2 linked regions of the Bombyx mori genome follow. The protein of the gene in region 1 purifies or fractionates together with the protein of each later gene. This does not show direct contact. Links are inferred from orthologs where the notes say so. Each region holds a gene or a part of one and is shown in the gene's direction. Other genes may lie near its edges.

What was found.
Region 2: the proteins of MIP18 family protein galla-1 (region 1) and probable cytosolic Fe-S cluster assembly factor GL21135 purify together in Homo sapiens (affinity purification with mass spectrometry; 4 studies listed by BioGRID and IntAct, with this or other methods). This does not show direct contact. The link is inferred for Bombyx mori from reciprocal best matches to the Homo sapiens genes CIAO2A and CIAO3.

The regions. Positions count from the first base shown.
Region 1 is NC_085134.1:8,479,257-8,483,817, reverse strand, and holds the start of MIP18 family protein galla-1, read left to right. Parts: upstream 1-1,672; 5' UTR 1,673-2,383; coding exon 2,384-2,528; intron 2,529-2,611; coding exon 2,612-2,875; intron 2,876-4,561. UniProt on the Homo sapiens protein: Component of the cytosolic iron-sulfur protein assembly (CIA) complex, a multiprotein complex that mediates the incorporation of iron-sulfur cluster into extramitochondrial Fe/S proteins.
Region 2 is NC_085116.1:15,949,747-15,954,065, reverse strand, and holds the start of probable cytosolic Fe-S cluster assembly factor GL21135, read left to right. Parts: upstream 1-1,219; 5' UTR 1,220-1,334; coding exon 1,335-1,400; intron 1,401-1,807; coding exon 1,808-2,022; intron 2,023-2,430; coding exon 2,431-2,576; intron 2,577-2,989; coding exon 2,990-3,148; intron 3,149-3,374; coding exon 3,375-3,623; intron 3,624-4,136; coding exon 4,137-4,319.

The DNA.
Region 1 (4,561 bases):
TTAATATCACGTGGACCGTGCTATTATTGTTATTACGTAAAATAATAGGAAGAAAAGTACCAGGGTATTATGATATCAAAGAGATGTATTATTATAACTTTACTCTGACGTACAGCCTTCTTTATTAATTAACGGCTGTATGTTCTGAAGTATGGATTCCGATTTGAGAAATTGACCTCATGTCTCCAGGTGGATTACGGAAATCATTTTGTAATTCCAATAATCTCAGGGAGCCCACTTAATAATATCACGTGGACCGTGCTATTTATTACTGTTATTACGTAAAATAATAGGAAGAAAAGTACCAGGGTATTATGATAGCAAAGAGATTTATTAATAATTAACGGCGGTATGTTCTGAAGCATGGTTTCGGATTTGAGAAATCGACCTCATGTCTCAAGGTGGGTCAAACTTCACGAACCTCAGGAACCCCATTTAACACCACGTGGACCGTGCTATTATTATTAATTTATAGGAAGAAAAGTACCAGGGTATTATGATATCAAAGAGATGTATTATTAAAATGCTGTAATAATCTTAGTAGCAAAAAGGTAAAGTGAAATAATTGTATTATTTGTATTCATGTCTATGATAATAAAATCCTTTTGTTTAAACTTTATCTAATTTAACTTTATTTAACCAATTTCTAGAAAGTTGCATGTAGATCATTTTTCGAAAAATAAGGCCATAAACAAGTTTCACTTCTTACGTGTGTACACTAGTACACGCACACATTTTTTTGAATAATTTTATTTTGTTATTGTGAGGTATTATGTGGTTGAATTAGGTTTTTTTTTCTACACTAGAATTTCTCTAGAAATTTATTTAAGACAACACGTTTGCCTTGTCAGCTAGAATAAATATAAATTTAAAAACAAACAAACACTTCAAGAGTAAGCCAAACTAAATCGTAGAAACTAAAAGTAAAAAAAATGATTTTTTTTTATTACAATATATTGTAACATATTTTTTAAGAACTCTAATTTATAAATAGTCGTAACATTTGATGTCAAGGTTTTAATTAATTATCAAGGTTAATCTTAATTCGGTTAAAATTACTCCTTATTAAAGATTCAGTTAGTTAGATATAAGTTATGCTAATAAAAATATGCAAAATAGATCCATCACAATATGTTGATGGTAAAGTACCTGAGATCTTCTAATACAGTCAATTACTAATATCGACGCTTCCACACGACGGAATACACTGGCTATGAAAAAATACGAATATTTCTTTTATTAAATAGAAAACTGTGTTTCACGTCAGATAACAAACTTTTTTTATTCAATTAAGCAAAAGATACACCGTTATGTAGGTAATGAAATAAAAATTAAATGTATTGTAGTAGTTTAGCGACAATATAGTGGTGAATGCAGGCTCTTAATTTTGATTCAAGGTTGTTTGGATGTAGATAAAAATAAAAGGCCTATTTTTTTTGTATACTGTAGCCTCATTTGAGGTATCCATTCCTTTTGGCAATGCGTCATGAATAAGCCACCAGCTTGAAGTTTCAGTCATTAAAGCTTTGTCTAATGTTTGTCTACATCAATTATTGATGGTTTTTGGATGTGTTAACGTCTAAATCGATGTACGCCGCCTGCACGCACGAAAGAGTGTCACGTTCCTCTGAGCCTGAGCGCGCAAGCGAGAGCGCGGAACAAACGATAGAGAGGCACGATCGGCCCAAGCGTTGGCTTGTGACACATTTATCTGTCTTCTCGCGTGGCGTCTTTTTTTAAGTGATTTTATGTCCTGGTAAATTAAAATAGTTTTAAATTAAAAGGTTTTATTTTTAATTTAAGACAATTTAAATTTTGATGAAAATTGCACTATCACTTTTTTGTATATGAAAAATGATAATATGAAGTGAAATGAAATGAAGCTGATTAATATGAAACATGGCATTGCATGAAATGAAATGAAATGAGATGAGATAAAATGACATGGGATGAAATATAATCTCAGTAAAATGGCGGTTATTTACGGAGACTTTTTCAGTGGACTTTTTGGAGGATCTCGAGAAGTTACGTCCAGCGCCTCTGTTTTATTTTCCCACTCACGTGACGTCAGAGTTAACAGTTCGAACAATTATCTTAATGGCGTTATCACGTAAAACTATCGTTCGTAAACCGGCTTTCGTTTATGGACAAAGTTACTTGCATTGTTGTAAAATTAGTTTAAGTTCTTTAAATTGTCAATACTATCTGTAAATTCTGTAGAACATTATTGAAGACGACAAAAAATTAAGATGGACTTAAAAGTATTGCCACAATAGCAGATACAAGTGAAAAAAAAAACGGAGGTCAGCAATTACAATTGTCAAAAAATAAATATGTCCGACATTTAATCGTGACCCGTGATAATTTTAATTTGAACGATAATATGATATCATTTTTCTCCAAACTATCTTTAAACAACTCTTCAAAACAGCCAGTGGAGGTCGCTAAGCCCGCATATATGGACAAAAGTGCTACATTACAAGAGCTCGGCTACAAAGACGAGAATGAGTTGAGAGAGACAATATATGGTTTGTTTTCAACATAAATTTGTGGTTTTGCACGAACTTTTTGTGTTATTTGCGTGTTTAATGTGTGCTGTGGTGTGTTTTAGACTATTTGAGGACAATTCGAGACCCCGAAAAGCCAAATACGCTTGAAGACTTGAAGGTCGTGTACGAGGAAGGAATCTTTGTGAAGGAACCAACTGCAGATAAAGTGCCCGTTTTACGTGTGGAGTATAATCCAACAGTGCCCCATTGTTCGCTGGCCACACTAATCGGACTTTGCATTCGTATTAAAATATTAAGGTCTATCCATCATCCTGTGAAATTGGACATTTTTATCAAGAAAGGGGCACATACCACTGAAGATGAAAGTAAGCGATGAAATTTGTTAGTTTAGAAAATGTATCATTGGATCTAAAATGCATTGCACTATAAAGTTTAGTGGAAAAAAAATCATCACTATTTAATACAAAAATAATATAATTTTATGATTATATTATTAACATCAATAGCAATGATATACGCTATTAACTAATAATATAAGCTAATAACTATTTATGTTTACATCTATTTCTGTTCAAGATAGTGAAATAATTTACCAATATAATGTTTACAATAAATTAACCCGATCAGGTTATCACTTTTTTTGGCACCTTGTCAGGTTATCATGGGTCACTGAAGACCTGAGATGCATTAGAAAACGTAATTTGTAATAAAAAATCTGATTAAATTCCTGAAAACTCTTGAATACTTAAACTTGAGCACACGATGAAGATTAAAAAAAATTAAATGAGGATTTTATTAATCATCATAAACATACCCACCTCCTTAAAATGGAGTCATTGATTAAAAATTCATAACTTTTGAACAAATTGAGATATTAAAAAAAAAATCAATTACAAGAGAATGCTTTTTTCAAAGAATAAATTTCTGCCAATCTCTCCATCTACTATAACTCTTTCTTCTTGTTCATTTCTGCTCTGCTGCTTCTGCATCATCATCAGAAAAATTGTACTGAGATGATTATTCTGAATCTTTATTAATGTGATCTATCACGAAGCTATTTTCTTCTTCTAAATATGTGTATCCAATGAATTATGTGAACAAAGTATTTTCGATATTTTATGATATCCACAGAGCTATATATTGATGAAAGATCAATGTGTAACCCTAAAAATGCATAAATTTTATTCAAAATCAAGAACTAACCTTGTCATGGAAAAAAAATTCAAAACCACAGTTACAGTTATCGTAGTTCACTCAAGATCACTAGTGATCCAACATGCACCACTAGCTCACTACAAATATTCCACAATTCTAGAGGAATGTGTATCAGAGTAAAGATTACCTACTCACCTCACAACTCTTTTATAAGCTTATTTACAGTGAGGTTAGATTTTTTTCCGTACTTTGATTGTTACAGATAACAAAACAAAAAATTAGCTACGTTCCTTAATAACCCACAATAGCTTCATCAGGTTAACGATGAGACAATTTGTCTTTATTCTACTAAGAGAGTTAAATGTTTATTTGCAGTAGTAGTTGCATTAGTAAAATATTGGGGCTTAATGGTGGTAAACTAGTAAAAAGTTATTAAAATTAATTTGAAAAACATCAGACAAATGAACTGACTGATATAGCTTAATAAAGTCTAGAAACAGCAATCATATTTGTTCTGTTGTAATTTCATTCCGATTAGTAGTGTTCGGTTATAATAATACAATATAATAATGTTCTAGTAATCATAATGTTCGGCTTAATAGTCAGAGGGATGACTAGTACACTGTCAGGTCAGTCATGAAGGTGTTGTTTATGAGTTTTCCACTTTTAATTAGAATTTTTGGAGTCTTTCAGCAACAGCTAGAAAACTGACCCTGCATGGTTAAATACCACCATATAGGGTAAACAAAATGTTCATACTTACTGGTACTACACACATACTGAAATTGTGTACTTCATACATACTGAAAAATGTGACAGCTGTAATAATACAAAATTCTGACTTCTACTTTATGCAAATTAAGCACATTATGTGATTAAATAAAATGACGATCAAT
Region 2 (4,319 bases), on another chromosome or scaffold:
TCCGAAAGTTGTTGTTCGGTACTTATATACATATATGCAAACTTATCTTGGAAATATTGCTAGCAAGATTTATGCATTTGTCAAATATCTTGTAGGTATTCTATTATGGCTACCGCTACATTACTCCCCCCGAGACCGGAGTTCGTGCGATTAATTTAGCATTGTCCGTGCTGAGATTAGCTTGCTAGTGCCAGTGTTACTCGAATTCTCCGGTGAGTCGAGACTGAGTTTTGAATGCCGCCATAAAGCCGTTAATACAGAGCTGCCACGCCGGACATATGTGACCCCAAGTGTTGATGACCGGATCGTGGGCTGCGATGGGTTGTAGAGGCTTGATGAGGCAGTGAGGATGCATGTCGTAGGAACAGGAAGCGCGGCAAGTCGGCTACGATGGGCATATTGAGGCTGTCATGCTGGTCTGCTGCGGGACGTCTATTGATGACTTACGATTTTAACTTCGAGAGTGCGGAAAGAAGGTAAGAGCGTGTCTCGGTTTTCTAAAAAAAAATATGTTTGCACCAGTGAAGTAAGAGTCACAAACTTATATAATATAAAATTATGCATTAGTGTAATAAATATTATTAGCGTAAGTAAATCAGCAACTCTCAAAGTGGTTGGTGGTATTTCCATCGTGATGTTTAGGCTTAACTATCTTTTTGTAGTTAATTAACAGAAAAACTTGCATTCGTAATTTTCATGCAAATTAACAAAAAAAAAATATTATTAAAATTAAATATAAAATTATTTTTAATATCCACTATACACAAAAGTGAACTTATCTAGCATGTGAATTTTAGAATATTCCTTTAATTTTCAACAATTTTAACCAAATGAATTAAAATAAAATACCGTTATGTTTAAGTTTATTTAAGTAACATTGCCTCATTTAGCTATATTTCATCATCATCATCATTGTTTCCTATTACCCTCTGCTGGGGTGTAGGGCTCGAATCAAATTTTTCCATTTATATCGGTCTTGGGCAGTCTGTTCTAGCTCCTCCCACGTCGTGCCCAAGACCCCTAGCTCCTGCTCCACCGAGCGACGCCAAGTTGTTCTGGGGCGGCCTCTCTTCCTTTTGCCAGACTCTTTCCAGATCAGTGCTCTATTTAAATTATATTTAAATTAAGTAATTTTGAAGTATTTTAAATTAAGTATCATTTACCATTTTTCATACAGAAAAAAAAAACCACAAACGTCATTTAATGTCGTAATTGTCGTATGTCATTTTCAGCTGTGTTGATAAAATGTAACGTCATAACCTTGCACTTTATCAAATTAATCGTACATCACATTTATTATTTACTTCATACCAAGACGCCTGTTCAATAATAAAATGGCATCTCGATTTAGTGGTGCATTACAACTTACGGATCTTGACGATTTCATAACTCCTTCACAGGTATGTTTTTTTTTTGTTATCAATAAAATCCTTTGCTGGCGAAAAAAAAAACAATTCAAATATAACTTTTTTGTAACAATTCATTTCATTTTAATTGAATTGTTATTAAAATTTTGTACCAATCTACTTTGATAATATAATTATTCATAATATACTATAATTTATACAAGCACTACTAACTATCGAATCAAAATTGAGACAAAAGGGACTTTAAAGTAAAAATTATTCTGAATTTAACAATCAGAGTTTTTATCGTATTAAGTTTTTTTTACTATTTCATACTCTATTTAAAACTAGTACTATAACAATAAATGAGTGAACAACTCATTGAGTATTAAGTATTAACATCAAGCAAACTTATGAAAGTGAATCAATCAGTAAATTTATCATAAAGTTAACATTTTTAGGAATGCGTAAAACCAATCAAAATCGACAAATCTAAAACAAAGACAGGTGCCAAAATAAAGATTGGCGAAGGTGGGTACTTTGATGTGTCAAGCGGAACAGAGCAGAAGTTGAAGAAAGTTGAAATCACCTTAGCAGACTGTCTTGCGTGCAGTGGATGCATCACATCTGCTGAGAGTGTGCTCATTACTAAACAAAGTCAAGAAGAGCTACTTAAGTAAGTCCTATGAGTTTTCATTACCAAAGAGAGTTTCTAACATAATATCACGAAATGCCTAACAAGTTAAAGAAGGAATAACTTTTAAGGTATAAAAAATAAGGGGGGAGTTGACGGGGTTATTAATTCCTGGCCACCTGGTCCAGAAAGATTATAGAAGCCTGTATATATCACTAAGTGAATGCCAGCACCCACTGTGAGACACTGAATCCAAGTATATTTCATAAGAGCTGTGCCATTCTTCAAACCAAAAGTATGACTGCTTTTTGGCAAAAACAGGTGCGATGACTGTAGTCCTCCCTACAAGTAGCACTAGACACTTAAATGAATAGTAGTTCCTATTCATGGAACAAAAATATAATTAATTTATTAATTATATTTTGCATAGTAAACATATTTTAATTTCAGGGTATTTTCAGACCGTAAATACACAGACAGTAAAGGAGTGGTGAAGGATGTTAGTTTAATAGTAATATCTCTGTCGCCGCAACCCATACTGTCACTAGCAGCTAGGTACAAGCTACCGCCTGAACATGCCACAAATAAATTAGCAGGTCTATATTTATAATGATATTGTAATGAAAACATTCCAGAAATACTCAGCAGAAAGTAACTGTATTGTGTTTCAAAATACATTCACATTTCATCACTTTGCTATGAATACAAATTAAATAAAAACTGCTCAGTTTGCAGTAGATACTAAATAAATTTTCTGAGGATTTTGTTTGACATATGTGATACATAAATGGCAAATGTATTGTATTCCTCTATTACAATGAAACTTCTTGTAACAAGGTGGGTACCAACAGTCACAATATGATGTCAATAAGCTCTGTTTGTAACCAAACACCAAGTGTCCCATAGACAAATCTAAAGGTTATGTAGATTTAATTGTAATAACAAATTACAAGATGGTTTGGTTATTTGGAGGTCCTTACAATGTCTAACTTTTAATTCATTATCACAGGGTACTTTAAAAGTCTTGGAGCAGATCTAGTTCTTGACATGACGATAGCAGAAGACTTATCTCTGTTAGAAGCACAGCAAGAATTTGTACAAAGGTATCAGGATCAACAGGCTGATCCCAATGGAAAATATCTTCCGATGTTAGCCAGTTCGTGCCCTGGTAAGCATGCTTTAGTTTGAGAATATAATTGGAAATATTATTGGTACTATATGCCTATTTCTGCTGCTATAAAATAATAACAATTAAAAAAAAATTGAGCAGTTATTAATATCTTACTTTATATTTCAAGTTGACGTTAGATGGTGGCTTTGTTCATAAAGATTTACATTTATACGAAAACTCTTATTAAAAACAATTAACCAACCAACTAATCAACAATTTTCAGGCTGGGTGTGCTATGCTGAAAAAACGCACGGTAACTTTATACTACCCTACATATCCACCACAAAATCCCCACAACAAATAATGGGTTCTCTGGTAAAGCAATACCTGTCCCGTACTAAGGAGCTTACTCCCGGAGAGGTGTACCACGTGACCGTCATGCCGTGCTACGATAAGAAACTAGAAGCATCTCGGGAGGAATTTTACAATGATTTGCTTAGCTGTCATGATGTAGACTGTGTCATAACTGCGAGTAAGTATACAATTGTTTATGAGAATTAATAATTCTTTCAATACTATTTTCTTTTATAATATTTAGACAGCTGTGCAATAAATTAATGAAGCTTCCTTATTTGCATTGTAATTTTTCAAGACACATGTACGGCTGATTTGTAATATCTGAGTCGTCTATTATCAAAGGTGGCAATCTGTGCATTTGGACAAAAAAAAATTATTGATATGTCAATACAGATTGATTTGAATATAATCGTCTCCTTCAAAGAATACGGTTCAAAACCTGCATTAAATAAAGGTTAATAGTTAACCTGTTATTTATCTAAGATGTCGTTCCGAAGAGTTTTGTGACTGCCAATGGAATACAAAGTCAATAATTCGTTTTTCTGATTTACCAATCATTGTCCAAAAGTCAGATTGCCGGCTTTGATAATAGTCGACTCATCTTACGATAAATTCTAGAAGCAAAATATATTAATAAATAAATGGTTAAACAAAAGTCAGGGCAGCCCTATAAATGTGACAATTTTAGTCGAGCTAGAACAAATGTTGGACAACAGCAACATGTCACTAAACGATGCGGAGAGCTCTTCGTTGGACAGTCCGTGGGGTGAAGGGGCAGTCCGCCGACACCGGGGCTCCGGCTCTGGTGGCGGCGCCGACCATGTCTTCCTCTACGGAGCCGAACAACTCTTTGGAGAGACCGATGCTCAAC